4 linked regions of the Schizosaccharomyces pombe genome follow. The protein of the gene in region 1 interacts with the protein of each later gene in a biochemical or structural test. Each region holds a gene or a part of one and is shown in the gene's direction. Other genes may lie near its edges.

What was found.
Region 2: the proteins of rpn11 (region 1) and txc1 form a complex in vitro, tested with the Schizosaccharomyces pombe proteins (one study listed by BioGRID).
Region 3: the proteins of rpn11 (region 1) and bag102 form a complex in vitro, tested with the Schizosaccharomyces pombe proteins (one study listed by BioGRID).
Region 4: the proteins of rpn11 (region 1) and bag101 form a complex in vitro, tested with the Schizosaccharomyces pombe proteins (one study listed by BioGRID).

The regions. Positions count from the first base shown.
Region 1 is NC_003424.3:3,005,059-3,012,807, forward strand, and holds rpn11 (19S proteasome regulatory subunit, ubiquitin-specific protease subunit Rpn11), read left to right. Parts: upstream 1-5,587; 5' UTR 5,588-5,920; coding exon 5,921-6,847; 3' UTR 6,848-7,249; downstream 7,250-7,749. Other genes in the region: cAMP-independent regulatory protein Pac2, read left to right, coding at 1,080-1,787; RNA polymerase III-inhibiting protein Maf1, read right to left, coding at 3,126-3,737, 4,102-4,200, 4,254-4,259; SPOM_SPAC31G5.21 (FAM32A family protein), read left to right, coding at 5,029-5,385; glycine decarboxylase T subunit gcv1, read left to right, coding at 7,535-7,749. UniProt on the Schizosaccharomyces pombe protein: Acts as a regulatory subunit of the 26 proteasome which is involved in the ATP-dependent degradation of ubiquitinated proteins.
Region 2 is NC_003423.3:962,990-971,650, forward strand, and holds txc1 (poteasome interacting protein Txc1), read left to right. Parts: upstream 1-3,290; 5' UTR 3,291-3,721; coding exon 3,722-4,345; 3' UTR 4,346-4,756; coding exon of another isoform or gene 4,757-5,615; 3' UTR 5,616-5,677; coding exon of another isoform or gene 5,678-5,778; 3' UTR 5,779-5,902; downstream 5,903-8,661. Other genes in the region: SPOM_SPBP35G2.17 (uncharacterized protein), read right to left, coding at 966-1,286; shugoshin Sgo1, read right to left, coding at 4,757-5,615, 5,678-5,778; SPOM_SPBP35G2.04C (uncharacterized protein), read right to left, coding at 6,019-6,276, 6,462-6,882, 6,975-7,045; serine/threonine protein kinase (CK1 family) Cki2, read right to left, coding at 7,968-8,661.
Region 3 is NC_003423.3:786,465-793,646, reverse strand, and holds bag102 (BAG family molecular chaperone regulator Bag102), read left to right. Parts: upstream 1-1,563; 5' UTR 1,564-1,767; coding exon 1,768-2,388; 3' UTR 2,389-2,983; downstream 2,984-7,182. Other genes in the region: Tea1-anchoring protein Mod5, read right to left, coding at 1-98, 327-386; protein ksh1, read left to right, coding at 3,407-3,409, 3,448-3,557, 3,630-3,681, 3,751-3,807; SPOM_SPBC530.02 (transporter), read right to left, coding at 4,344-5,969; GTPase-activating protein Gyp1, read right to left, coding at 6,990-7,182. UniProt on the Schizosaccharomyces pombe protein: Inhibits the chaperone activity of HSP70/HSC70 by promoting substrate release.
Region 4 is NC_003423.3:4,230,222-4,237,743, reverse strand, and holds bag101 (BAG family molecular chaperone regulator Bag101), read left to right. Parts: upstream 1-3,837; 5' UTR 3,838-3,959; coding exon 3,960-4,547; 3' UTR 4,548-4,794; downstream 4,795-7,522. Other genes in the region: protein ptf2, read right to left, coding at 142-522; top3 (DNA topoisomerase III), read left to right, coding at 1,607-1,687, 1,735-2,111, 2,201-2,693, 2,744-2,880, 2,928-3,663, 3,765-3,809; exosome subunit Rrp42, read right to left, coding at 4,795-5,446, 5,544-5,791; kex1 (serine carboxypeptidase), read right to left, coding at 7,281-7,522. UniProt on the Schizosaccharomyces pombe protein: Inhibits the chaperone activity of HSP70/HSC70 by promoting substrate release.

The DNA.
Region 1 (7,749 bases):
GACTCAACTTTTCCTTCACCAACCGCAGTGTTGCATTAAGCAGCAAAACGTTGTCACCTTCGAATAGCGTCTTTTTGACGAATAAAAAGGTTGGACAACAAAATTAAATTAAGCAAATTTGTGTATAAACTAACAGCAAGTGAAGTTGTACCGGTTGTATGATTGAAGCATTGTAAACCAAAGAACAGCTACTTTGCCTTGTCGTACATTAGCTTTTTCCTTTGCAAAGAACTTTTAGGGACCTTTTTTTACCACAACTAGAGAACCGGTGTAGAAAGGTGTTCTATTTTAGTGAACGGATTCGTTTAATTTTTTCATTGAGAAAAAAATTTGATCTATCTTGATTTTTTCGACTGTTTCCATTTTTAACTATTTGTGACGTTTCTTATTGCCAAATTTCAACCTTGAGCATTGTTAAAAAAGCTGAATTTAAATTTCTTTGCTTTTAACATACAAGTGAGCTATTGGGTTTGTAAAGATTTAATACTTGATTGGAAGTTTTTTTGGTCAAGTCTGTTTTTTTTGGGTGTTTTTTTGACGATCAGTTGAAACCGCGAATAATAATATTTATTATAACTCCCTAAAAAAAGAAAGAAAATCATTTATTAAATAATTTTTACTTTCCTTCATTGTTTCTGAATTTTGCTTCTCCCTGCCGTTTAATTGTTTCATTTTCTTTTAGAAAGTACTAAAAGGTAATCAAATCGGCTAGTCTTGCAACTGAATTTTCTTTGAAGATAATATCTAGATTTAATTTTTCCCTGCTTGAATTTCCTAAGATCTTGCGTTCGTTCGGACTGAATTGCATAATTTATTGAAGGTCTCCATTCCTGTATACTTACTCGACTACCCATTTATCGGTCAAGCTGTATATATACACGCACAGTCAACTTATCTTCTACTTATATTTATAAAACTATTTATTTTATTTCTCTTTAATCCGAGCTTCGTTAGTTGATTCTTTTGATCTTTGCATTGGTAACTAATCCAGTGCGCTTTTTTTTTTGAATCTTCGTGACAGCTATTTTCTGATTTTACTTCATCTTCAAACTACGATCTGATCGGCTTTGCCTTTCGTCATGCAAACTTATACAGGTATCATTAAGACCCCGTTGGATGCGATTATCCTTTTCGAGGCCTGTCGAATTGGTCTTCTTCCACGCGTCCAGCGTCGATTGTCCGACCATGAAAGAAGCTTGATACGAGCAGGCAGTGTTTTTGTGTGGGATGAACGGGAAGCTGGAATGCGCCGTTGGACTGATGGTAAATCATGGAGTGCTTCTCGTGTCAGCGGTTCATTCTTAACCTACCGAGAAATGGAGGGTAAACGTAAACCTTACCATCACGGTCTTTCCACCGATGGTTCCCTTAAACGCTCTCCCTCTGCAGATACGACTGGTAATAGTTCCCTAAATGCTTACAGCAATGAGGACAGTGGAGCCGCGAGCTTGAGTGATGAAGAGTCGGTTGATGATGAGAACCTACGGGGGTTGCATTACAAACCGAACGGCTTAATTAAGCAGTCCTTTAGTATTACTACCTCCTTAAATCATAAACTTCACCTTATTTCCTATTCTTCGCCTATCCCTGATCCTTCATTAGTCACGCCAAGTAGTGATGTTAACCTTTCACGTATCACTATTCCATATGGACTGTATCCAGACGCGGGTCCACCGCTTGTTCAAGCACCAAAGTTTCTCGCTCCTTATGATATTCTTGTCGAGAAAGTTGCCTGTAGCGAAGACGCGCGCGTTTTGGATAAGTTGCGTCAAGCCCTATGGCTATAGGTTTGATCTTTTTCTTCACATTGGGTCCTACTTCTCGGTTAAAAAGTGTACTAAATTTACTATAGATTTCATTTGCATCATATATGGGGCTTTAACGACTCCCAATCAATCCTAGTTTCCTGTGACATTTTCTCGGCTGCGTTTTCGCTCTTACTAATCTGCGGCTTTGTCTATCAGCGTCTAATTTATGTGGTTGATCAATTTTAATTTCAAGTTACCACTTCATTCTTCAGCACTTACGGCAAGTGATAAAAACAGAAAGCTTGTTTTGATTTAATTCATTAACTAAGTAATCGCTCAACTGTCTTGCAAATACGTTTTCTGTTCGTCGGTTTAGATGTGTATCGTTATCATAACTCTTTAGACATTTCGCTTTACGCATTATTTTGTTTCGTCTGCGAATATCGGAAATGTCCTTTTTAAAGAATCTTTTGTGGTTATTTCATCAATGCTTCCTTTTTTCTCTTTATTATTTATTTCTTTTCATGATGGAAATGGTTAAGTAAACGTCTATCATGAAGCACGGTAGAACAAGTATTCAACATTTGAATTATGCACTCAACATTTCTATTTTTTACTACTCAACTTAGAGCTCATGTTCGGGTAAAATGATAGGAAAGCATCAATTCTTAGGGTAATTTGAATTCCTTAAATACAACTACTATGAAATTAATTCTTTATCTTTTAAGTAAATGCATAGCTTTTATTTGTTGTAAATGAAGTATTTTCAAAGAAAAGGTAATTTTTAAATTGAATAACTGAATACATCATTATGCTATGTCAAGATGATGCTTAATAAGGCTTCAAATATTCGGGAACTTGATGTGAACGTTTAAAGATAGTTAGGCTCAGATGATTAATGAGGACAGATTAAAAAATTTTCCTCTAAGGTCAAATTGCATGTACAAACCTATGAAACAGTTGTTGGAAATTTTTTAATCTATTATGTATAAACACGTGTGTTGCAAGAGAGTAGAAACCGTAGTACAGTCTGGAAAATCTTAACGTACAAATCACATGTGAAAAAATAGGTTCCTTAAAGGATAAAAAACAAAAAACAAGAAGTACCTAAAATGCTGGGGGCATATTTTTTTTTTCAAAAATGCAAAAAAGAAAGGGTTGCTATAAATAATTTGAAATAAACTAATTAACAGGGAGATATTAAAGAAAGGTGAGGTTTCATGTATTTACAATTAGAAAAAACAAGAAAATTTCGAAAAGTCATGATTCTGAAATAATAAAATGAGCACGGTGCAATTTAGTTTGCGAGTTGAACAAAATGTAAAGAGAGAAAAAGAGAAAGTAGCAGAAACCATTACTTCCCAAATAACCAAAAAATTAATCATCCATGTTAGCAACCCAATCGTCATCAAAATCGCTTGGCTCTGCATCGTCCGCAAGTGGTGTAAACACAGAATCATCGTCATTTCCATAACGATTCCGACCCGAGACTTCCTTGCCCAAACCATGAAGTGATAAATAAAGCATGCGCTTCATATTTTTGTTAAAAAAAAAGTAGGACATCCCCCATATTAAAGCATCATCGCCGTAAGGATCGCTGTCGCTATCTGGAGTATAGGAATAAACGCTGCAATCAGACAGGTTGATATGACGGTCGATAATTTCCCAAATTCCATTCACACTCAATCTACCACGACCAATGTTATTAAGTGTAGAATTAACGGAATCTACAACACGAGATAGTGAAGGCTCTTTGTAAAAATCTGTTGGTTGGAGGCTACTAAAATCATGATCGGGATAAGAGGCATTAAGAGTAGCGACAATGTACATAAAGGTACGACGAGAAGAGGACTGATCAAGAGGCCCAAATGGACTTTGCTGAGTTAGGCTGAAAGCATATTCCGGTGATTTACTACTCGATAATGCAAATAGATCCTCCTGACACCGATTCTCTATAGCTTTAAAGAGTTTCTTGTCAGAATTTGTACTCTATAAAATTGTTAGCACATTTTATATATCAGTATATTCATGTCTTGGTAAGTTAATAAAGCAGAATGCTCCCGAATCTAAAAACAGACACTCAGACGCGGTACTCCATTTGGTAAACAACAATCGTAATCATTTTGGTTTCAGATTTGAAACGTAAAGAAACTAAATAAATAATCACAAAAAAAAACAATGATTATATAATTAGCTGATCTTGTACAAGAGACCAAAAAGAACCAAAATTGTTCAACTTAGTGATTTGACCACGCAAGAAAAGAGGATCATTATTAAAAGCATATGTCAAATTCAAGAACCAATGTACAATTTTCCCTTTACCAGACTAACCAAGCTTACAAGTTAAATTTACCTTGGTTGTATAGAGCTCGCACTTTCCGCGTATGCGACAATCATCGGCATCAAATGATAAGGCATTATTGACTGTATCTAAATCGGCAAGCTCAAGAAACTGGTCACAAAAACAGGGTTTAGTAAGACAAATAAAAAGTAAAATATATTTACCTTCATAGTAATTGTAATGTAATCAATTCAATTGTTTCCTTTCATTAAAAAGAGGTTTGCTGTGGTTAGGTATCAGCGTCGCGTCCAACGTCAATGTCACTTCTATTAAGGGTACGTTAATCTTAAATAACAGACTATAAGCTAATAGTAAGCGTAAGGAGTTTGTTAGATGTCGGTTCAACATTTTACCGAAGCTTAATATATTTGAGAAACCATCCCGATGCATTGCCATTTATTTTTTTATGCTGTTTTAAGGTACTTAACCGTATAATGTGTTAAAGTCCAAGTCGAAATGCATTTATTTATTCATAAAAATAAATATTTTAAGTAATTAAAAGGAGTCTAATAAAAACAAATCAGTTTAAAAATATCGATTATAAGTTTTTCCGTATTTTTCTGATGAGCATTGAGTAACTCAATTTTTCAATATTCAATTTTTTCTACAATTCTTAAAAGAAACGGTTCAAGTATCATTATTAACCAAAAAAAAAGTAATAATAATTTATTTAATGAATAATCGTCGCTTCTAGAGTATACTTGTACAATGAAATTGTACATATATATACATATTTTTTTTAAATTGAGCCCATTAATAAACTTGCACAACATACATCAATTCTTTTATTGTATTACTTATTACACTTTTACTATTAAATTATATTTATTTTATTTTATTTTTAAATTCAATTCCTAGTGTAAAATGTATTAAACTGTTTCACCTCTTATCGTACAGTTCAAACATTTTGCTTACACCAACTTACCTTTACCAAGAACTATGGACTACGTTGGTGGTTCTCTAAAACTGAAAAATGTAAAAAAAAAACCTTTGAAAAAGAAAAAGAAGGATTCTAAAAAACTTGCTGAAAAAGTTCAAGAGCATTCTTCCCGAGATAAATCACCTTTAGAAGAAAATGGCGTATCTACGTACCAAATGCTTCGCTCAAAGGATACAGACTCGGCTATGCCGATGACGGAAGCACAGAAACATTTTGAGTCTGTTCAGGAACAAAGATTACTTCAGAAAGCAAAGAATGAGCGATTGAAAACACATAAAGACAGGATTGATGAGTATAATAGACTACTGGAAAGTCAGTCGGAGCATTTTGACATGCCTAAAATTGGACCCGGCTAGTTTTCAAAACACGTCCTTTTTTCTCTCAATAGCTATACTTAAATAGCAATGGATGCCTCCTCTATTCTGCATAGTTTTTCTCCATCCACCTACCATATTCTTTTATGAATTACGCACTCTAATGAAATCACTATTTTATTTTAACAATACGCATTATACCTCATTATTGTTATAGCTATTCATTTGTCTCTAGAAAAAACCTGTTTATAGCCAACTACCACGTAAACGTATACTAGCTGCCTAAGTGAGACCAAAGACATAGAATCTTGTATATTCGTTTTGTATAGTGGTTGAAACATATAGAAAGAACTTCCTTTGAAGAACAAGCACATTATAGTGACCTTTGATTGTTTTTGTCGTCTTACTAAATATCAGTGAACAGCATTAACGTTTTGGTAACTTTATTTAAATACTTATACTGAGTTTCTCATTTAATCTCCAATTACACTTTTATTTGCGGTTATTTGAGAGGAACCCCACTGATACTGATAAACTCTCATATTTCAATACATACATACGAGTCATATTTTTCGCGATGGAATCTTTACAAAGATTGTTACAAGGTGCCCGCATGGGTACTGGTATGATGGGAGATCAGCCTCTTGTTGATAATTCCGAGTGTGTATACATTTCATCTCTAGCTTTGTTAAAAATGCTTCGTCATGGGCGACATGGTACACCAATGGAAGTTATGGGTTTGATGTTAGGAGAATTCGTTGATGACTTTACAGTACGTGTTGTTGATGTTTTTGCAATGCCTCAATCTGGTACAGGTGTCAGTGTAGAAGCAGTCGATCCAGTTTTCCAAAAAAATATGATGGATATGCTTAAGCAAACAGGACGGCCAGAAATGGTTGTAGGTTGGTATCATTCTCACCCGGGTTTTGGTTGTTGGCTTTCTAGTGTCGATATCAACACCCAACAATCATTTGAGCAATTAACACCAAGAGCGGTGGCAGTTGTTGTCGACCCTATTCAATCTGTCAAAGGAAAGGTGGTAATTGACGCCTTTCGATTGATTAATCCGTCTACCCTAATGATGGGTCAGGAACCCAGACAAACAACTTCCAATTTGGGTCACATCAACAAACCTAGCATTCAAGCTTTAATTCACGGTTTAGGAAGACATTACTACTCCCTTCGCATCAATTACAAAAAAACTGAGCTTGAAGAGATCATGCTTTTGAATTTACACAAACAGCCTTGGGCACATGGTCTTTTACTTGAAAACTTTAATTCTGCTGCGGAAAAAAATCATGCTTCTATTGATAAGATGAAATCCTTGTCAGAACAGTACACTGAACGTGTTCAAAATGAAGTGACTTTAAGTCCGGAGCAACTTCGTATTCAATACGTTGGTAAACAAGATCCCAAGAAGCATCTTGACGCTGAGGTTCAGAAATGTATAGACAACAATATTTCTTCCATGTTAGCTTGTATGCTTGATTCCGTTGCCTTCTAGTACATCTATTTTGGTAATACCTCTTTTCCATCATCCGTTTTTTATGAGCTACTTTCTTTCCTTACTCAAAGCATTTATGAACTGTTTGAATAATCCTGTTGGTCGAATCTGATACTACTTTTTTACGATTTCATATTCGTGACTAGGAGTACATTTTTTTTAAAACTTTTTACATGATCGTGGAGTATGATTGATGATATTTTGGTAAGCTCTTGAGATTGCGAGCGTTTGCTTTGATGGATTCTTATATATTTTTTTTCATAGATCCTTAAGATATACCTGCACACCAGTCTTTCAAGCTTCTTCCCAATAAGAAAAAATTGTTTCAATTATTGAATTTGTAAACATCTTCTACCAACATGTTAAAAATTTTGTTTCCTTGATTGTTTGTAATGTACCTGTAAGGATCGTCGATCAGCGTCAAACCATTGAAGTTGAATACATAAAGGTATAACTGAGGCTACTTAATTTATTATATGACATTTTAGCGTGATATGATTTTTTGATGTAGCATGATATTGTACTTGTCAAGTATTCCTATCTATCTTTCAACCTTTGCCAACCACTAACGTATGTTGGTTTACGGAATCAACAAACAATTGTTTATTAAGAAGTTTAACAAGGTTTCTTTTTTATTTTCAACGTTTAAGACTTGCTCCAATATTTAACTGGTTTTTTGAATTCATAATGAATAGATCTGCTGCTTTATCAATCTTAAAGCGCCAAAGTTCTACGGCAGCTTCTTCTTCACTCAAGAGAACTCCTTTATATGATCTGCATTTAAAAGAAGGAGCTACCATAGTCCCCTTTGCTGGTTTTTCAATGCCAGTACAGTATAAAGGTCAAACCATTAGTGCCAGTCATAAGTGGACACGGGAGCATTCTGGCTTATTTGATGTAAG
Region 2 (8,661 bases), on another chromosome or scaffold:
TATATGTTAATCTTCTACGACCTCTCAGTCGGACTGCTGCGCTCTATATATACATCTGAAAACTGCGCACGCAATCTGTCCAGATGATCTGACCTGAGATACCATACTATCGGTAAAATACGTTAAGAAAACAGCATACACTGTGTTTGATCTCATAATGCACATCCGACCGACTGCATATGCTAATACATTGCGTGAGTTGCGTACAATGTTACCTCTTCATAATTTGATTACAACACACAAGAGAAGAAAGCAGAACGACTGATGTGGGGGATTTGAGTCGGAAGTGGGAAACCGAGAAAAACACTGTGTGTACTAACTCGCATACTAAATGCACACACAAACGCTAGCTCAGCCGGGGTGTCATATACAATAGTAAAAACACACTACATTTTTTATTTTTTCATTTTAATTCTCGAATACTCTTCTACTCACTTTAAGCGACCTTTCGCATCATATTCTCCGCCTTTAAACCCCAAAAATACATGTGAGAAGACAGTTGTACGCCAGCTCACAACAACATGATGCTGATCGCACATCTTTGGACTGTAAAAAGAGGCACCGATGCAGTCAGTAGCGGAGCAAAATGGAGAACCATGGTGATGATGACTTTTTTTCAACGAGAGATTTAAGGCGATAGGTGGGGTCGAAATATAGCATGTATAAAGATGTGCAGGGCAGGGATGAAAAATTAAACTGACGGTTGGGAATGAATGAGAAAAAAAAGAAATTAGTTTAAATTATAATAAAATAGAATAAAATAAATGGAATTCAATAATAGAGAACTAGAGAAGTAAAAATAAAAAGAGAAAAAATAATAAAACAAAATTTACACATGATAGAGATATAAATATATTTCACTATTAGAGAATGGTTTTACTTTTATATATCTATTTATTTATTTATTTATTTTTTTTCGATTTCTAACGACAAAGTGCGAATCGTTTATTGATTATACATTGTATTTATGATAGTAGGTGAGCAAACAACCGGAACTCGAAAAATATTTGCGAAAACTTGCGTACAAAAAGATGAGTGAATTCTAATAAAATGAAATGACTGTGGCATGATTGATGTTTTGTTTCCCATGTCTCAATGAGTAGCATCAAAATTAATTTTACCTGTTGTCCTTGTGCGACACCCATAGCGGGAGAACTAGCTAAAAAAGAAGTGAAATCTCGTTGTTGTTTCACACATTGTCTTACAATTCCATGGAATGACTTGATTCTGAAGACGGTCGGAAGCAACTTTCTGCCTCGACCGGTAACGTAGAATTCACGTACCATTTACTTATACTCATGTAACCTTGTTGTAAGTGTTTGGGATCTTTGAATCTAACGTTCGCGGGATCTAGCACGTGTTACTCTGTAGTTTGCCACGAAGCAATAACTCCTCAGCAAAGAGCTAGGATGCAACACTCTGCCAACAGTAACAATCACCAACTGTAGTAGCTACTGGATCCGATCCCACCTGTGCTTCCTCTGTAGGTATGCAAAACATCCCACATAGGTACATCTATCCCACATTTTCACGTACCCATCCCACATGTATCCATCCTACATACATCCATGTGCTTTGCTATATGCAGAATACAATAGTGCTAAACGCATCAGAATCTTTTGGAAAAATTTTAACCTACTACTGGAATTCATTCATTTCATGAAATCGATTATTAAAGGACGTATGAATCTTGTTTACAAACCCATGAGGGTCTTTTTTGCATACTATGTTTTCAATGATTTTCCTTTGATCAGATAACGAACGCTGCGTGTTTCGGTTATGTGCTAGAAAAATCGCATTCCAACAAACGAGTAAAAATAGAATAAGATGGTTTAGTAATTAAACTCGAGAACGAAAAAAAAAATAAAATAAAAAAATAGAAAATATCGTATGTACGGCTTCTCAAGAAAAATTTTTTTCAAGTTCTTTTTCTTTTTTTGGCTCTAAGTAGGTAAGGCGTATTCAAATCAAAACTCCTTTCCCACTTTTTCCCATGTCTTCCTTGTTTTTCTTTGTTTTTATTTTTCTGTCAAGTTTCTCCTTTTTGGGACATTTATTTACTACTTTTTCCAGAATCTTGTATAAACACCCTATTCCATATGTATCTAGTACTATCCAGTGCAGCGGGACAAAGAGAAGCGTAGAGAAAAAAAAGCCAGTTATGCAAAAATCAGGATATTCGCTAAAGATATCAAGATGCAGATCATTCTCGTTTGTATTTTTTTTTCAAGGATGAAAAATTAGAAAAATAAAAAAAAGTAGAGAAAGAAAATGCAAGAACACTTCTTTGGTCATTTTTATTCAACATCGATTTTCTCATTAAAAATTTCTAATCCTTTCATGCTTTGTTGAACCAGTGAGGCATTTTTCAGTCGCATAAAAATATCAACAACAGGGGCGAGACACGGTTAAGGCAAGGGTTAACAGCGGTTCAGGTCCTTTTGCACGGATTCATGTCCGTAGCGACATTAGGAGTAAACCTTAGGAATATAAAAGTCAACCAAAAAATAGTACGTTCTCTTTCTTTCTTTTTTTTTTTTTTTTTCTCTAAATAATCAAATCCATAATGTTCAATCCTCCCACACCAATGTAATCCCGAATGTACGCATATCCATGTTTCTCTTAATAAACATTCACCATGGAAAAGAAAACACGTTACATATGGCGTGCCATTTCTTTCTTCAATGTAAAATTATACAAAGTTATACTTTTACGCTACCCCCAGCCTTGGCTTGCCCTCCCCCACCCTTCTTTCCATGACTTGTTTCACATCTATAGCGAACCTTTTCCCTTGGTCTTGCTTTGGTTGTCACCGTATTTCTGCGCTGTAACTTTGTCACGTGTCACCGTTCATTATTCTTGCATGTTCAAGCAACCGGTTTTTATCAAAATCCTATACATATATATTGTTACAATGAGCGCCACACGGCCCACATCCTACCCGCCTGGATAGAAACAATGTTACCAAGGAAGAACTTTGGTGTTGTCTTTTTCATGGGCCTTTTAGCTTAGTTGTTCGTATGCCTTGAAATTCTGTTCCTCATACAGTGCTACAAAAGTCTCGCTAATTTAACGTTGAAATTTCTACACTTTCTTTCATCTACCACGTAGAAATTTACGACTGAATAACTTTTTTTTGCGAGAAAACCAAAAAAAAAACAAAAAGGCCCCTTTATATTTATGTATAGATTTTCTTTTATTTATTTTTTAAAATTCTGGTATTCATACTATTCATCGAATATTTTCAAGTTGGTGTTTAAAAGTCAGTAAGGAGGTTGTTTGCTTATACTGTCAACGTTTCTTTGGTACAAAAGTGAGTTTTCGGTTATTGTCTCAAAATCAAAATTTTTTAAAAAGCAATAAAATAATTCATCGTTAAAAAACTACTTTTATATTCTTTCTTTTCAGTTTTGAATTCTGATTTTGATTCCATTTTTGTTTTTCTTTTGCTGAAGACTAGTAAAGCTTCTAAGAAAAATATTTTAACGCATAACGTACTTCTGGTCTCGGGAGGCTTTTTCGCCATATTTTTCCGCTTTTGGTTTTCTTCCTATTAGTTGTTTTGTTTGAGTATTTGCTTCCGAGTGTCGGTCTTACGTCTTAGTGTGCTCGCAAATAACTTTCCCTTTTACTTTTTGTTAGCGAGTTTACCGTTTATTTATTCACCTATCAACTCGCCTAGTCTTGCATTTTTAACGATTTCCTTAGAAGTTTGTACTAAATGTCTGGCCCTCACCATTGTTCCGCTGACTGTGATGAACATCCGTTTGAGTCTGGTCCAAATGATACCTTGTATTCTTGCATCCGAAAGGAATCAATTGTTACGCTGAATGAAGCTGTACCAGATTCCGGAAAACTCGTCTTCAAACCTTGGGACCTTCGTTATGATGACACTGATATCGTAGAAAGTGATGCTGATGACCAACTCTTGTTTCAGGTACCGTTTGCAGGTGCGGCAACACTAAAATCAATTTTGGTTCGCATTTTTCCTAATGAAACCGCTCCACACTCCTTTTCACTTTTTCCCAATCGTACCGACTTGGATTTTGACACAATCGGTGATGTCCAAGCCACTGAAACATTTGAATTTCCCTTGACTTTTGAAGGAAGCCATATCTTCGAGTTTCCTGTTAAGACTCGTCTCTATCAAAACCTTCAAAATCTCAATATCTTCTTCACCAAAAGCGACGGTTCTGATGATCCTACACAAATCGCCTACATTGGTCTTCGTGGTTCTTTTGTTCCCTTCAAGGGTGATCCTGTTGTAACCATTTACGAAGCTACTCCTAGACCTTCAGATCATCCCAAAGTTAACCAAGAGGAGGTTTTCCGTTCTTACTATTAAGCTCCCGGGAAGTTTAGATTCCTTCCTTTTGGTTTTTTCCTCTCTTATTTGAGATTTTTGTTTTACCCAAAGCAAAATAAAAAATATATATGAAACGATACGAATACGCTTTGATTTGGATTTTTTTTAATGACGGTTATTTAAAGAATATCTAACGCCCTTTTTCTTTTCTTTTTCTTAAATGGCTAAGTCTCCATACTTTTTTAGCTTATGTTTAAATGTTGGTTTGTATTTATTGGCCGATTAATTATGTGTTTATGTAAAAGAAATGAGCCTTGATTAGGTTCTTTTTTTCTTCCTCTATTATTTTTTGTTTTTCTCTTGAATTTAAATGTTGCTTGCAGTAGATTAAATTATAAATTAGCTGTGCTATAAATGTGAAAATATTTAACAATGTGACCTCAATATAATTTATGCTTTGCCTCTGGGATGTCGTTTGCGTTTTCTATCAGATGGTAAGTCAAAGTCTCGTCGTAGTTTAGTTCGCAAACTGGGTATTGCATAGTTTATCACTTTGACTGATCGTCTTAGTTTTTCACGTCCATTAATCCTTGGTTGAGATTCTTCAAAATCACATGGGGAGCTGTCTCCGGTTGCTTGTCCTTTAAGGTCAGTTATCTGTTCAGCACTTTTACAAGGAATACAAACACAAACATTTGATGTTTTAGCCTTTTCTTCTTCAGTTTCGCCCTCGTTGATGGATTCAAATTCGTTTTCTTTTAATTCCTTTGAAAAGATGGTGATATTTTTTTGCGGCAATGAGTAATTCACCTCATCTTGTGGTATTTTGTTTACGTGGGCATTGGTTTTATCTTTTAATATACATTTTCCAGGTTTTTCAGATAGAGCCGGAGGACCATGGACTTTTTTTTGGAAATCTTGAAAACAATACAATGGTTGCCCTGTTTCGAGACTTTTAAGTTCATCATTAAATGATACATACTCCAAGCGTTTATTATGCAAAATCTGATAATCTTCTTTCGAATCTTTATTTTCACAGGTTGTAAATTGACTTTTTACATTCGCTTCGAGGAAATCTGATGAACACTTTTTCTCTATAATCTTCAGTAAACTTTGCACTTGTGAAATCTTTTTGTGAATGGTTTGTATCTCAGGAAAGAAGTTTTTTAACAAGTCCTCAGTTTGAGATTGATTGCGAAATCGAGCTTCAAGTTTAACCAAATAACTTTTCAAAGTGAAATTTTCTTGTATCAAATCTTGAATTTCGTTTTCAGATTCTCTAATTTTTATAGAAAGCTGAGTATTTATTCTGAAAGTTAGATGTTTATTATTTACCACAAGGGATTCAAAAATGGTGTACTTTGACCTTACTTTATAATTTCACGATTTTGTTTTAAAAATTTCTTTTTCAACGACTCCATCGGCAATTTATCTTCATTGTTTATATTTGAATTTATAAATTGAAAGTTCATAGCTTTTTTAAAGCTTTTTTTGCGAAAAGCAATTAAGGACTTGCTGATGTAAACAAACCTGTTAAGTGTAAGGTAAACAATCGCAAACTAAAGTCTTGTCATATTGAGAAAGGCTCTTTTCTTTAAGGAACTTGCCAAATCAATGTAAATTAGTATATAATAAATTAGATGAAAGATGGTTGTACGACTTAATGCAGCCCATATCCTGAATAAAAATTGATAAAAAGAACATAAAATTAATTACTGCTTCGCTATCCGACAATATCCATCCAACTCCTGAGAGATTAAATGTAATATTCGACGAATTCTTTCATCAAACTTTTGGAAATAATGATGCAATTGTGAGAAATTAGATTCGTCCGTGGTCTTTCCTATTGCTATAAAGTTAGAGGACAAGGGAGCTTTATACTTTTTGAAAACACCTCTAAAGAATTCATAAGCTTCCAGTATACTGGTGAGATAACCATGAAAAACAGTACAAAAACTGAGATCGTAAGTCTAAGTAAGTAGTCGGTTAGTATGCATCATTAAGAAAACGTGTTAAACATTGGCATATTATATCAACGAACGTTGAATTTAACTACATGCAAAGGTATAACATTATCAACCCTAAAAATTGCAGATACGTCTTTTGGATAAGATCCCTTACATAGTAGTCCGCTTAAAATTTATGTAAAACTTACTATAGGTAAAAGCTCCATGTTCTTGCTAGCATGGTCTTTTCCAAAAGGGTATCTTATGCTGTCTAATATTGCTCGAAAATGTGAAATGCTCCTGGTCGTAACGTAAAACCCTTTTTCAGTCAACAAATAATTCCGAAACTCAGCCGTAGTAATATAAATGGAACGAGCAACGTCTTTAGCATCGCCATCGGATTCCTGAATTAGACATTGTATGTTTCTAGCATGAGATAACAAAGCGACCGTTCTAACTGTTAGCCATAAAATGGTAAAGAGTTTCTTATAAAAATGTAATCGTATTAAAATGGGTAGGTTAATACCAGATACGAACCTTTTTTTAAAATTGTTTCTAACCATAAACGAGTCAAGTGCTTTTCGGTCAAGTGAGACTCCATGGAAGCGAATTTTATCATTTTTAGAAAATCTAATAAAGTTAGTAAGTAAACTCATAAATCATTCACTTTAAATTTTAAAACTTCAGGCGACAAACACAGAAATTCTTATAATTACACACACATTTCAAAAAACTTGGCTATATATGCTTCATTTTTATTAATTCTATCCTCAATGGAGCTATTAGATATCATATTTCGAAGCCGCTCTTGTCAATTTTAGACTCAAATCGTTTAACACACATGCACATGCATGTGCACGCACTAAGAAGTTAGAAAAGGGAGATCTATTTAACACCTGATAAAACTTGGGTTAAAACTTCAAGTCTACAGTCTTGATACGAAATTATATCTACGCCATAGAGAAAAAAAAATAAAAATTACATACTATGGTTTGACAGATTTTAGCGTTAGTTTTTGAAGAGGTCGTATACAGCATATTAGGTATACGCTGCAGTAATTATAACCCAATAAGTCAAAATTTTTTCTTTATTTGTTGCTGATTGTTTCCTTTACTAAAAAGGGATTTACCATTACTCAAAAGAAATTACCTAGTTTCCAATAAATCATATGGCATTTGTCCAGTTCAAATACTTTAAGACACGTATAGTTTATTTTTTGAATGTCCAGCTAAAAAATATATTACACGAATCAGTATAAAAAGAATTCCTTTCTTTTATTCTATTTATTTGTAATTGAAAACGAATTAGCTTCCGTTGTCATTTTACCAATTGTTAGTACCTAGAATACATATGGTTTGGTTATATATGTGTATGTATATATTATTTACTACAATAGTACAATGTCAGTTTTAAGACAATATTGAGTTATGTTAAAGGAAAGCAACATTAAAAGATTAAACGAGAACCAGCAAAGTAGGCTAGTGCCAGCAAATTTGCAATCGAAATAATTAAAGAATTTGATTTAAGCACCCGCTCAAAGACGCTATACAGCGTTTCTCAAATTAATATTAAAAAAAGATGAACCATTTATCCCGTACTCTGAAAACCAAATCATCAAATGATTGATATTGTGAAAGCATATCTACCGCATAGTAGAACAACACTTATTTAAGTTAAGAAAGTGAGTGACTCTAACAATAGTTGAAGCTTCGAAACTAAGAAAAGCAACGACAGCATATCATATCAAAAAATCCTCCTTTTGCTTCCGAATCAGAATTATCGTTAGGATGATTTACTCCGACTGCATTATTCGAGGGCTGAGATACATACATAGGTCGAACCCTATCGTAACCTCTAGAAGAATGAGCATAAATTGTTTTTTTAGAAGCAGACTGTTCTTGACGCACCAATGGAGCGTTTTTGCTCGGCAACGCATCGAACGATGAGTAATTTCTAGGACCTCTCACCCCATATGAGGATTTAAATCGCATGTTCTGTGTTTGCAAAGTACTGTTCTTTTTTCTGGAATCATCATTTTGAACAACATTTAAGCCAAGGTAATTCTTTCGTCGCTTCATAGCAACAACAGAAAAATGAGAAGAGCTTGACTCCCAACCTTTACCGTCATTCAATAACATCCAATCATAAACCCCATCATTCGTATCACCATTTGCTCGAAGTACATCATCAAATAACTCTTGTAAAAACGCATAATCCGGTTCTTCATCAAATTCTAACGAACGCACATAAGTCATGTATTTACTGAATTCATTAGGAAATCCAGCACAAAGCTCACTAATGGAGGTAGATTGCTTCTTTTCACTAATCTTTTCGTATTTGTGCTTATTGTTGGCAGCTTTCAATCCTTGCCAAGGTAAACTTCCCCTCAAAAAATACATAAAGACGTGT
Region 3 (7,182 bases), on another chromosome or scaffold:
TTTCTCCGGATAGCAGGAGTAGAAGGAGCACTTGTACCTACATTTCTATTATCGAATTGAAATCCGACGGTAGTGTTTGGTCGAGGTTTTTTTGATATCTAATCATTAATGCCAGCAAGCTGAACCCTTAACTAGTGAAAAGGGGGCAGCCCAAGCAACACTTGTTAGCAAATCATTATTTCAAACAGGCAAGATAGGGTAGTACTCGGAAAGAAAGGCTCCATTCAACAAATTGAACAGCTGCAATTTGCGTACAGGTGCAACTTTCATGTCTTACATAAAGAATAAGAGAAACTACCTCTGATCTTCTTAAAAAATTAGCATACCTCGGATGTCTCAGGTCTCCAAAAAGAAGGAATAGCAGGGCTTTCAGATAAAGCCGACATGCAATCAAATAAAAGAAAAAGATCAATTAGAGCCAAAAAAGAGAGTAAAAAGAATATCCAAAACTGGGAATTGGGAAACCGGTGTTTGGCTAACAATTAGTAGTACGCGGATCGCGACGCTAATTTCCTCAGTTGAGCTGGTATCGTGTTAAATATTTTGTAAAAGAATATTTCCCTCTTTTTAGTAATGTTCATGGAACAATTGGTGAAAAACATAATATTAAAAGGTCACAAGAAAATTTTTATAGCTAAAATATTCTTTTAAAAATAATTCGAGCAAGTTCTCAGGCAGGTGTAGGAAATAGATGGATATTTAATAGAAATTACCCTTGAGAGCAAATAGAGCTGATTCCTTTATCCATGTAAGATGGAAACATAACTTTTGACGTCCCCAAGAACATGCACTCTTAGATAGGTAAGCACATCAGTGATGGAGTAAGTGTTGATATATCCAGGTATTGCAGACGAGTAACAATAATGAAAGTTGAAATGGAGAATTGTTTACAGCATGATATCCTGTTCTTCAATTTTTATGCAATTTGAGTCCCCAACAATTGAATCGATCAAATGGGAGAACCCACTAAATTATTGAAGAGTATTTTGAAAAAATAGTTGAGGTATAAAATACCCAAGAATTCAACCATTAAACGATAAAATCAACCGAGAATGCGCTTTTGCTGATATGAATTTATATGAAACTTCTTCTTTGCTTTTCAGAATAAAGTTATACATACAAATAAACAATTATTTACGCCGAAAGCAATCAAAGATCCTTAGAGTATTACTTATTCTCTTAAAAAAAATTAGAGCATTACTACTTCTGGTTAAAGTCAGATTCACACTTTGTTCAATTATCAAACACATCCCATGGATTGCTTTTTTCGGTACCTTCCTTGTCAAAGAAACAAAAATTAAACTTAAAAAGAGAAAAAACAAGATCTTTACGAAACTGAATTAGTTTAATTTGATGCATGAACGTAAATGATAACTAGATATTTGAGGTCAACATGTCAGTCTACTGCAGCAGAAGTTTTAACAAAAACAAAAAGAATAAGATTTTGGCAACAAACAGCTTTTTTTTTTTTTAATTATCATTTTTCGGACTTATCATGTTTGTATAGGAGAAACTCACATTTCAAAGAATTCATAACACTATCATCTCCACAACCTACATAGTAACCACCAAATGCGAAATTGGTTCGAGAGCAACTCACCAATTTAAAACATCCTCTCTCTTATCTAGCAATTAAATTTTTATATACCAGTTCCTTCATTTACCAAGGAAATCTGATAAAGACCCAGACTTATTTAGTCTTGCTTATTGACCGGTTTATCACTTCTTCATTCATTTGACTTTAGGAAAAAGCATCGAGAAATCAACATGTCTTTTTTTACCCAGTTGTGTTCTATGGATAAAAAATATTGGATCTCTCTAGCTGTATTGTCAGTTACTGTTTTGATTAGCGCATTATTGAAAAAGAGAGCTACTGAAACCGAAGATATTGTCGTTGTTCATTACGATGGCGAAAAGTTGAATTTTGTGTTGCGACAACCAAGGCTGAATATGGTTTCTTACACTAGTTTTCTTCGTCGCGTGTGCAACGCATTTTCAGTAATGCCCGACAAAGCGTCTCTCAAGTTAAACGGGGTGACCCTCAAGGATGGTTCACTTTCCGACCAAAATGTGCAAAATGGAAGTGAATTAGAGCTCGAATTACCCAAACTGAGCCCGGCAATGCAACAAATTGAAGCATATATAGATGAGCTTCAACAGGATCTCGTCCCTAAAATTGAAGCCTTCTGCCAATCGTCTCCCGCTTCGGCACAAGATGTTCAAGATTTGCATACACGCCTTAGTGAAACATTGTTGGCTAGGATGATAAAATTAGATGCTGTTAATGTTGAAGACGACCCAGAAGCTCGTCTTAAAAGAAAAGAAGCTATTCGTTTATCTCAACAATATTTGAGTAAACTAGATTCCACCAAGAATCAAAACAAATGAAAAATGTGTTATAATTTAACAATTCTTAGTTGCTTGGGAGACGATGGTTCCGTCGGCTATGGTTTTTTGGATATGTAAAAACTGATTGACTAAACAACTCCTACAATATTTTTCCGTTTCTAACAACTTCTATACCAAGGTTCTGCAAACAACTTGTAGCACCCAATTTTAAGTTTTTATGCTGGCTTGAATTTTTGTTTTTCTTTTTTTGATACCGCTTGCTCCTCAACTATTAAACTGTTCTACTCTCAATTTATACATAATCTTTAAGCATTCATAATGCCATATTTTCTATTTTTGTCGTTACAACTGTTTTTTCTTACATTTGCTCAACTGCAGCCGTATCATTAATTTTTGTAAACATTCGTCATTGCTTTTTGTTTCTTCCGGAAGGTTGGATAGTCATAGTGTTACAAATTCAAAATACTTTTTCTTATGATAAATGGATTTCAAAACTGTATACCAATTCTAGCATATCAACTCCACATCCTTTACTTCCTTCGTAATCACTTAACAAAAACTCAACGTTCCAATGTTTTATACCATTAATATCGAAGAGTGAAATTTAGAACAGCTGGTTATTTTGAAATTTAAGAACCATGTCTATTTAAAACTAAGGTTAAAAGTATTTTATCATTATTATTTGACTTGACTGCATCGTCAATGTATTATGTAGACTTATTAAACGTTACTCAATATTTATGTAACATGTTTTCCCCTTTCCCATTTATAAATAGTTTAATTTCCTCAAATACTTTATACAGCCCTCCTGAAAAGTCATACATATATTAGCATTTGTCCACCAACATTCAATATATTTTTAATATTATATATCGGTATTTATCGGTGTATCAGAACACGAATAATATGCGTTGTAATTCGTAATAAATATTTACAACGTCTTGTGTGTCGTAATGTGAACAAGTGAGCATACTTCAAGTTCATTGTATGTTTCATATATGAACACAGAAATTACATGCTTTTTAAAAGCTGAAAATTTTAATCAGAGTATAATAAAATGGTAACTATTTTTGTTTTAAGACAAACATTAACCGTTAGACTGCCATTTTTAACTTTGAAAGTTTGCTTTTCGTTATACTATTAACGATCTGCACATGTACTTATTTACACCGTCAATTCCCTGCTTTATTAGAAAAAAGAAAAGAAGGGTAAGCCTAAATGATTATTAGATATATAATATTTTAGTTTTGAGGGATATGGAATTGCTAATAAGTTGACAGCGTGACAATGGTATTCTGGAAATGCGCTCGAATTGGTGAGCGAGCTAGTCCGGTGAGTTTTAGCTATTTCACTAGCTAATTATCCTTTTTAAAAAAGGCTAGATCTAACATCTATCTTTAGTATATATCACTATTTTGTGTTTTTATGGCTTTACGATTTATTTTCGGTTCCTCATAAGTTATTAAAATTTTAGCTTTCTGGCTAGCTTATGACAGTGAAGAGAAGAAAATACTTTACAAACAGTTTTATTTCTTTTGCTTACACTTTTCATTTCTAAATAGCTGGTAATCAAGAATAATTCGACCTTTTTGTCGTTTATGTTGCACAAATCCATCCCGCACGAAAATTATTATATCAATTCTACGCCCATTTCATTCTTTCATCCTTATATTACCTTTTTACTCACATCCATTTTCATATCTTTATACGCCTGTGTCTATTGTGTTAATAAAAGATGTTAACTGTAAAGAATAACATATAAACAAGATGGATTGGTTGATTTTTGATTTCGATCTATCTATCAGTATAACTCTCATTTACTATAAAAACTAGAATAACACCCTGTTATGGCTTGTTCATATTGACTTCTGACCGATTTGGGTATCGTTTATTTAATTACTTAATTCAATTGCTTAAAATGTATCAAGCAAACCAAGGCACAATTATCCTAAAGCTGCGAAATCTATTGTACTAATGGTTGTGAATAGTAGTACTCACAACTTGTATGCGTGTTTACTCAAACCACGAATTTTTTTTCCATATATAAAAAATAAAAACGGTATAGGAATCATTCCTACTGAAATAAAACCAAGTAAACTAGTTGCCCAATGGTCTCCTAAATTCACATACATGGGCCTGCCTACTAGACTCATTCCTCCACTAGCTGCATAACGGACAAGCGTAGCAGCAGCTAAAGCACTTGCAGCCAGTTTTTGATAGGAATCAATTATGTAATTATAGGAAACAAAAAATACAAACAAAAGCGACCAGCCAAAGAAGATACTTGATATCAATGGAACTATCCAATGCACGTAAGGATGGTATGGGTAACAGGTCCATGCAAACCAAAACATGGAAATCGGTAGCATTATGGATCCAAAGAAAAGAGGGTATAGACGGTCTTCTGGAGACATAACCCCATTCCTTCTTGTATAAACTCGATTGTAGTGTACGTAGATGATGGGCGTGCAGGCACCTGCTAAAACAATACCTATTCCAATTCCAATAAACGATAAACCAATTTCTCCCTGATCGAAAGAGTACTTGGCAAATACTATAGGGTAGCCTTCAAAGTCAATATAACCAATGATGTACACGACAGTCAGATAAAGTGTAAAGCAGACTACAATAGGTTCGGTAATCAATAAAGAGACAGAATCAGTACAAGCTTGATATATTGCACTCCTTGGATTCCGCTGTCTTTCGTGAATGGTATGCCATTTCATATTTCTGGTCTTATTACGCAGATACCGAGCTTTATAGTCTAAAATGGTATCCCCATGAGTTTCCGGCATGAAGAAAAAAATAATGACAATTACCACGGCTCCCATGATCATATTTATCCAAAACACCCAACACCAACCCAAGTAGCTCTGACAAATAAAATCACCAATGATGGGTCCAAAAATGGGGCCAAGAAAAGGGAAGGTGCAAAAGCCAGGAAGTACATACGTTCTTTGTATGGGAGTAAATAAATCACTTAGAGTACCACCGCAATTTGATAAAGGCGTACTACCGAAAAATCCTTGAAAAAAACGTAAAATAACCAATGTCCATATATTTTGTGCGCAACCTCCACCAATTTGAAATAGGGTAAACATCAACAACGTACAAAAATAAACAACAAATCTTCCATAGATACCACTGAGAGGAGCAAATGGTAACGATCCAAACCCGAAGCCAACCAAGAAGACACAAGAGCCTAAAGAAGAAACAGAAATCGATACCCCAAAGTCCATTGAAACATTACCGATACCTGAAGAGTATACGCTCGATCCAAAAGTTACCACAAATGCTATTAAGGATATTTGAACTACAACAATCCATTTCTTCCACATTGGCCAATTTTTGGGATTTAAGGGATCATCAATGCTATCCCATCTTACTAAATAAAAATCACTTACATCCTCGGAGCTCTCTTCAAAAGTAACACCGCATTTTTGAATTTCAGGCATTACTGTTCCTAATGAAACCACCATTTTACGGGTAGCGTCAATAGCACCAACAACACCTTCATTCAATGCATTTCCAACATCCTTCACATTTACTCCGTTATTGGATATACAGTCAGACTTTACAACCCCAAACTTTCTGCCGCTTGCTAAAAGATACAGATCCATTTCTTTCTTATCGCTTAATTTGCGCTCCTAAGCCAGACGTAGAGGTAATAGGCAAAGTCTCCCTTATATAGTAAATATAGTTTGAAAAACAGTCACTGCAAATGCTGTTGTGGTAAGCAGTTGCAAAATCAGCATGAAAAAGCTATGAGTATTGAAATTTAAAAGATAAGAAATTGATCCTATAGTTATAAATAAATGATTTCTTCTTCATGAAAAGTAATACAATGATTCTATAACGCAATGGAACGTGCTTCTTTATTTCAGTTCAAAAACTGTATTAAGTTGTATAAATATTCAAAAATTGTCACAGCGTTTTCATTATCTACTCTAATTCATCCATACATTTTGGTCGAATCAAGGAAGAAGACACAGACCATGTAGTACAGTCTTGTCGATTTTCATCATCTCTTACCAATACAAAAGTCGTACTTTGAAATCGTAATGTACAATCTTGGATAAAACCAAAGAAAACATGACTAGCATAGAAGAGAAAAAAAAATGATATTAATAACGATTCATGTAAAGTATCACGCCATGGACTAAACAATCGTTGAATAGTAAAGTAGTAACGTAAGTCAAACTGGAAAAGGGTTAGAGAACGGTCGAACGTAAGAGTAAAGACAAATTACATATAAGTAATAGTGAATATACAATTTAATTCAAGGGTTAATAACTTCCCAAAAATGATTAAGGTAGTTCAGACTTTCTTCAAGAGAAATACTTTATCCTGCATGATAAATTCTAAAAGTCGCAAACTCAATCCAGCTGAGTTAAGGAGCAAACTTGAAAAGTTATTTAGGTGAATGAAAGGAAAATTTATTAGAAGAAGTAAGACTTAGACTCATAAGCTCATAAACATAGAAAAGCAACACAATGAATTAACGAAGGAGATTTGTCAACCTAATTATAAAAATGCATAGGAAGGATGGCATTTGAAAAAGGCTGCTATGCCAAAATAAGCAAGGGATTAAGGAAGAAGACGAATGCTCTGAAAAGGGAAAACGAAATGGCTACTATGCCTTACCTTTTCAAATGTGCACCAGCTCCACTGTACAATGATTTCCATAGGAAAGCTTCAGATAGTAAAATTTCGATATCCTTTGTGCTCCAATCTTTTGTCGGAATAGACTGCAGAAAAATTAATATATCCTGAAATTCCATCTTTTGTAATTCACTCGACCATTTCACTAAAAATGCAGCACATACGTAGAGG
Region 4 (7,522 bases), on another chromosome or scaffold:
GTAAATGGGTAGAATTCTCATATCAAAGTAAACAGAATACGCACGGATCGCACTGCCAACATTAAAGTGCAGCAAAAAAAAAATTAAAATATTATTATGAAAGGGAAACTGGTTATCAAAAAAATAAAAAATAAAATGAAATCATGGTGCTGGAACATAAAGCGGATTATCTGCTTCTAGATATTTTATTTTTTCACACAAGTGCTTATAAGAGGCCAAAACGTTTTCATATAACTTGTTTGCTTCTGCACTTGTTTGTCGTAAATACTCATGCGATGTAAACAGAGAATCTGCCAATTTTTGCTTAGCACTTGGGACCTCTGAAATGGGACAATCACACACCAACCTGGCAGCGGTATTTAAATTTTCATTTTCTTTTGCAAAAAAATTCTCGTATTTTCTTATATAACGTAAAGAACGATAAATCTCGATTGGAATATTATCGGTAAATTCAACAAACTCGGCTGCAAGGTCTTCGTCACTCAATTTTTCATTACACGATGACTCCTGTATCTCATCCATTAAAAAAGGTCAATATTGTGGAAGCCAAAGTGCAAAAACTTGTTATAAACAAAACAAAATGAAAAGATGAAAAAGAAATTAAATTTCAAATTTTTGGTTAATCGCACCTCCTAAACTTCCCAAATTCAATCGCTTTAATCGAACATGGATTTTTTGTGTTTTATATTTCAGAATAATAAACCTCAGACTATATTAAAAAAAGTAGAAACCTCGTGGAAGAATGCTTACTACTGCTTCATCAGTTATCTCAGGTTCGCACTTGTCTACTACAGTGGTGAGGAAAGTAACATGTTACCAATTGTATGGAATCAAAGTAGTTAATTGAGATTTACGAGAGAAGCTGTGAAACAAAAACTTGCCTTCTAGACAAGGTCGCTTTGTTTTAAAAAAACAAAAAAAATCCTCTGCACAGTCCCTTCACTCTATCGATAGTGCATGATTTTTCTTTTTCTTTTTTAGCTATCGATAATTATTTTGCATTTAAAAGATGAGAAAATATAAATATAAAAACAAATTAAAATATTATCAATCCCGGTTTGAGTCAATAAGAGAACTTTCATTTATCTATTTATTTTAATTTCAATTAATTAAGGAACTTACATCAATTTACCATGCTCTATAGAAATAAATATGTAGTTTACAATGCGAATGATGGGTTCAAAAATCAAAAAATATCTAAATTTCTAACTTTTTTTTACAAACAAAATATTAATTTTAAATTTTGTTATACATTCGGCGCATCTATTCATTAAACCGTCCTGACTATGAAAGCTTAAGAAATAGTTATTACATGGACTTCTTCAATGCAACATACATCAAAATTATATAATTACTTATCTAAAGAGGTTCTTCTTAATTCTCTAGTATAATTAACTACTGGTATGGTGTTTGATTTTTTTTAATGAACTTTCTGGTCCTCGATTTACTACCTTTCATTATACCAACATTTGTTAGCATAAACAATAAAGCCATCTCGACCTTAACACCTTACACGCGAATTTTACACTGCAGTCATTTTTAAAAAAGGGAGATATAATTAGAAGGTGTGCAATATCCAAGTAATAAATGTCATCTCTTAAAAGAAATGCGCGTCCTATGTGTTGCTGAAAAAAACTCGATTGCCAAATCGGTAGCAAGCATTCTAGGGGGTGGACACGTGAGAAGGGTTTGTTAAAAAATTTAATCTTTTCTGAAATTTACTAATCTCTTAAGAGAGATACACGAAGTAAGTATGTAAAAAATTACGACTTCTCATTTAATTTTGGAGGCAATGTTGGATCTTCTGATGTTACAATGACTTCTGTATCCGGTCACTTAACAGAAGCTTCTTTTCCTTCTGAATATTCTAGTTGGAGCTCTGTCCCTCAAGACGTTTTATTCGATGCTCAAATCATCACCTCAGTATCAAAGAATGCAGAAGTACTAGCAGACAATATTAAAAAAGAAGCTAGAAATGCCCAGTACCTTTATATTTGGACCGATTGTGATCGTGAGGGTGAACACATTGGGGTGGAAATCTCCAATGTAGCTAGAGCCAGCAATCCATCTATTCAGGTTATCCGAGCAGACTTCAATAATTTGGAACGGTCGTAAGTTATAAACATCTTAGCGTTTTAAAAAGCAGATATTTATTTATTACAGAAAAAACCCTTCAAGATAAATGCTAACTAATTTTCAGACATATTATCAGTGCCGCGAAACGTCCAAGAGATGTTTCAAAAAATGCTGCAGATGCTGTGGATGCTAGAATTGAACTTGATTTTCGTTTAGGTGCAATATTCACTCGGCTACAAACTATTCAATTACAAAAATCATTCGATATTCTTCAGAATAAAATAATAAGTTATGGTCCCTGCCAATTCCCTACATTAGGCTTTGTAGTTGATCGGTGGCAGCGAGTAGAAGACTTTGTGCCTGAAACCTACTGGCACCTTCGATTTGTTGATAAAAGACAGGGTAAGACTATTCAGTTCAATTGGGAAAGGGCCAAAGTTTTTGACAGATTAACTACAATGATCATCTTGGAAAACTGTTTAGAATGCAAAACTGCTAAGGTCGTTAACATAACTCAAAAACCAAAAACCAAGTATAAACCTCTGCCATTATCAACTGTAGAACTTACAAAACTGGGGCCAAAACATCTAAGAATTTCTGCTAAGAAAACTTTAGAGGTACGATTTGATTATAAGTGAATTTGCAACTTTAACATCATTTTCATCAGCTCGCCGAAAACTTATATACTAATGGGTTTGTTTCTTACCCACGTACTGAAACCGACCAATTTGACTCTTCAATGAATTTGCATGCGATTATCCAAAAACTAACAGGTGCACAAGAATGGGACTCTTATGCAGAAGGGTAAATATAATTTTTCTTATAGTGGCTTCCGTAATAACTAATGTTAGGCTTTTGGCTGGAGATTATCGACCGCCCCGAAAAGGTAAACACAATGATCGCGCTCATCCACCTATTCATCCCGTTCAAATGGTTCACCGGTCAGCGCTTCCTTCCCAAGATCATTGGAAAGTATATGAGCTAATTACAAGAAGATTTTTAGCTTGTTGTTCTGACAATGCCAAAGGAGCCGAAACGTTGGTGCAGGTTAAAATGGAAGAAGAGCTTTTTTCTAAAAAGGGATTGCTAGTGACAGAGAAAAATTATTTAGAGGTTTATCCATATGAGAAATGGGAAAGTTCGGATCAATTACCAGAGTATAGACTTCACGAGGAATTCCAACCCCACATTCTCGACATGATGGACAGTTCAACGTCCTCCCCTTCCTATATCACTGAACCGGAGTTAATTGCCTTGATGGATGCCAATGGAATCGGGACAGATGCTACTATGGCAGAGCACATCGAAAAAGTTCAGGAGAGAGAATATGTCATAAAACGAAAAAAAAGGGGCCAAGGTGTAACTGAATTTGTACCAAGCTCTTTAGGAGTTGCTTTGGCAAAAGGCTATGATGAAATTGGTTTAGAGTGGAGTTTGACCAAGCCTTTCTTGCGAAAAGAAATGGAAGTTCAACTTAAAAACATAGAAAATGGCCAACTTAATCGGAATGTTCTAGTTCATATGATCCTTACCCAATTCCGTGATGTTTTTCATCTCACAAAGCAAAGATTCGATTGTTTAAAAAATGTAAGTCAAATTATCATTGTTTCCTACTTTTCCAATTTTCAAAATCCCATACTTTATTTATTAATCTTTTCATTTTATGGTTGCTAACAAATATAACGCAGAGTTGCAGAGTCTACCTTATGAGTCATAATGAACCGCAAACCTAGATAACCAGACCGCTCGTATACTTTTATTAACTTATTACCTTTCGTTTTTAAGCGTCGCATTAAGACCTTCATTTTTTTGGATAGCATCAGCCTTAAAAACATAAAACATCTTGAGTTGGATCCGTTAAGCAAGTCGACTTAATATCGTCAATGTCAGAAAAGACTAGCACAGTTACAATACACTATGGAAATCAGCGATTTCCGGTAGCAGTCAATCTAAATGAGACGTTAAGTGAACTGATTGATGATTTACTTGAAACGACTGAGATTTCTGAGAAGAAAGTCAAGCTTTTTTACGCTGGCAAGCGTTTAAAAGACAAAAAAGCCTCGTTATCAAAATTGGGTTTAAAAAATCATAGTAAAATTCTATGTATAAGACCACATAAGCAACAACGAGGTTCCAAGGAAAAAGACACGGTTGAGCCCGCTCCGAAAGCGGAAGCGGAGAATCCTGTATTTTCGCGTATTTCTGGAGAAATAAAAGCCATCGATCAGTATGTTGACAAAGAACTTTCCCCCATGTACGACAATTACGTAAATAAACCGTCGAACGATCCAAAGCAGAAAAACAAACAGAAACTAATGATAAGTGAACTACTTTTACAACAGCTTTTAAAATTGGATGGAGTTGACGTACTGGGCAGCGAGAAATTGCGTTTTGAACGGAAGCAACTTGTTTCTAAGATCCAAAAAATGTTGGATCACGTTGACCAAACAAGCCAAGAAGTGGCCGCATAGGCTTTATTATTTTTATAGACGTTACCATTTCATTTCCCTTAAATTATTCCCATCTACTATACTTGCTATATGACTTTGACCTAAACGAAATACAATGACCAACCATAGTAACCAAAAATACCGATGCATGCCTCTTCATGTAACAAAATTGATCCTGATTCCGTAACCCAAGTATTGCATTTATATATATATATAGAGAGAAAGATGCTATTATATAGGAAATGGAGACCAACCCAACCCAATTCATTTATGGAAGAATATCAAAAAATCCTAAACCCTTAAAAGATAGAATATCGCTGCTGGCGTTCAAAAGCTTAGTACCAACGGTAGACGCAGTCTCTAACAATTCTATATATCGCTCTACAGTTATTGCACGTCCAGTGGATGCGTAGCCTCCTCCAGTACCCACGACCCTGGTATAGCTAATAGCACCACTAGCTTGAACACCAATCGCATATGTCACTTGAGCGACACTTGATTCCTCAATTGTAGGATCAACAATTATCACTTGATCAATGCTACTAACCAAAATTATGACTGACATTAATTCTAACCCTTGCAAAGGTAATGCATTTTCCCATTCTGAATCAACATCGTATTCTTCGGAAGGCTCATATTTAGTAGATCCAATAGTGATGTCTGTGACATTGGGGGTAGAAATTTTAGGTAAACGTGTAGTCTGTAATGCTAAATAAGCAGCAAGACTTAAAGCTGAAAGAATGTTTTCGTAAGGAGACGAAGAAAGTATTACAACAGCATCTACGTGAATAATCCAAGCTTTAGATGGTGTAAATTTCAAATAGTCGACAGCAAGTGCGTTTAATAAATCCTGAAGGGCACTTGTAAGGAATGAAGGAATTTCATCGGTTTCACGATTCTGGATTGAAACAGATGGAGAACTACATAAAAAGTGTTAGCATACCAGCTTTTTTCAATTGATTCATATTGTTTGTTACGCCAAACAATGTTAATACGAACTCCAAATATCTCACGTACATTTCAACTGAAGCGACATATTTACCACCTTCGGGAGTAGCATCACCCACTTCTGCTTTTACACCTATGACTATCTCCACCGAAGACGCCCATTTAACTCTAGCAGAACCATTTGTACCAGGCAGAACATCTACTTGTCCAGAAAGCGGACGAAGCTGGTCTATCGAACGTCCATCATTCCGAATTGCAGGCTCAAATTCTGTTATTGATTTGTGTGTGTACGATAGTTCTGGTAATGACAATTGCATATGTTGGCTAATGGTATATCGTTTAAGAATAATTTTCCTTGCAATATTGCGTTGAGTTCTTGCGTATATTCTAAAGTTCGTTATGTATGCTACGCAGTTTTGTATCTGTTTAACGATATGCAAAACCGCGATAAGTTTTACATGTGATCTGTTATATTATAATACATAGGTATAACGGCTATGAGTCATTGAAAATATTGGTATATGTAGGTATTATTTATGATCTATTTCTGTTATTAGCTTCTGACTAAAGTGAGGAACGAAATTTAGTTTCCTATTTAAATTGTTGAACATATAAACTAAATATTTGTTTCAGATATCAAATGATTTGCCCCAATATCTATCATCTACGAGGCTATGTTTAAATAGAACATGTTCCAAATGTGATACACAACGTAGTAAATTATAGCGTTGTCAGTACTACTGCGACATGTTTTTTTATTAGCTAAGACTTGTTTATTGACACAGCAGAAAAGGCGCATTCTCTAAAAATTTCGCAAGTTTACATCAGTTGAAAATGCTTGGGCAGTTGGTGCTTCATTATAACCTATTCCTTCAAAATTTTGGATGCAAAACCTACGCTGAAATATTATTTACCACTTTGATGCAATTTGGCCGAGTAGCAATAAGATCATATCTGGTGTTCTGTTCGATAGCGTGCCATCTGTAAGTATCCATCCACAAGCAAGTTGGGCCTATTGGATCATGGATTTAAAGACGTTGTCATCGAAATAAAACTATCCAATTTCTTCTTTGATATAGAGCTAGTTCACTCGTTGCCTAGACCTATTTAGTTAAGGCTGTCTGTAAAATTTACCAAACGCATCAATTGTGTCCCTGATAACGTGCGTCGATTTTGGATTGTCAAATATGATTACAGTAGATCTGTTATTAGCTTGCAGTTCTCCTTTGTTCTCATGCGTAGATGTGATAGAATCCTCCCATTGCTATAGCTTCTAACTGAATTTAGGAACGTGATTCGATTATAAATTATTTATAATAATCGATTATTAAGGGATGTAACGGATTGTCAATATAAACAGACAGATCTCACTAGTATTTATACATTTGTGACACATGTTACAAGACGTAGTTCTCCATGATATACTGTACTATTGCAAACACGTTATTGAGATTAGCGTTTGACGCTAATCTGTCCTATAAAAAAACTACAAAAACTGTAGAACAAACAATAGCTATAAGACAATGTTTGGTACATGATATTTCATATTCATGATTTGAGATCATTTAGAGACTATGTGCAAAAATAAAAATTCAAAGAATGTATCCATAAGTGAAATTTGATTAAAGATGAGAGATAAAATTTATGGTGATAATCGCAGATTTTTTAAAACCAGGGAAGAACGTTCCAAGATAAAAAAATAAATTCTACCACCGATAAAGCAAGATTAAAAGTTAAATGATTAAAATAAAGAGCAGAAAATCTGTATGTGAAAGTAAAAACCGACAGAAAAGATTTATATACAGTCTAAGGAGTTGGAGATATAGGTTGGTAGCGTTGTTTGCTAAGACCAAATAATCCAAATCTCCTGCACAAATAAATTGAGAATAAAATAATGATAGTTAAAGCAACAGGAATCAAACCCAAATAAAGCCATTTGTAGTTTCCATTACCTAAATCCGGAGAGGGTTTAGGTACCGATGGTAAGCTGGCAAAGTCATTATTAAAGAAAGCAGTAATCAAGGTCTTCATTTCATTAGGATGATCGT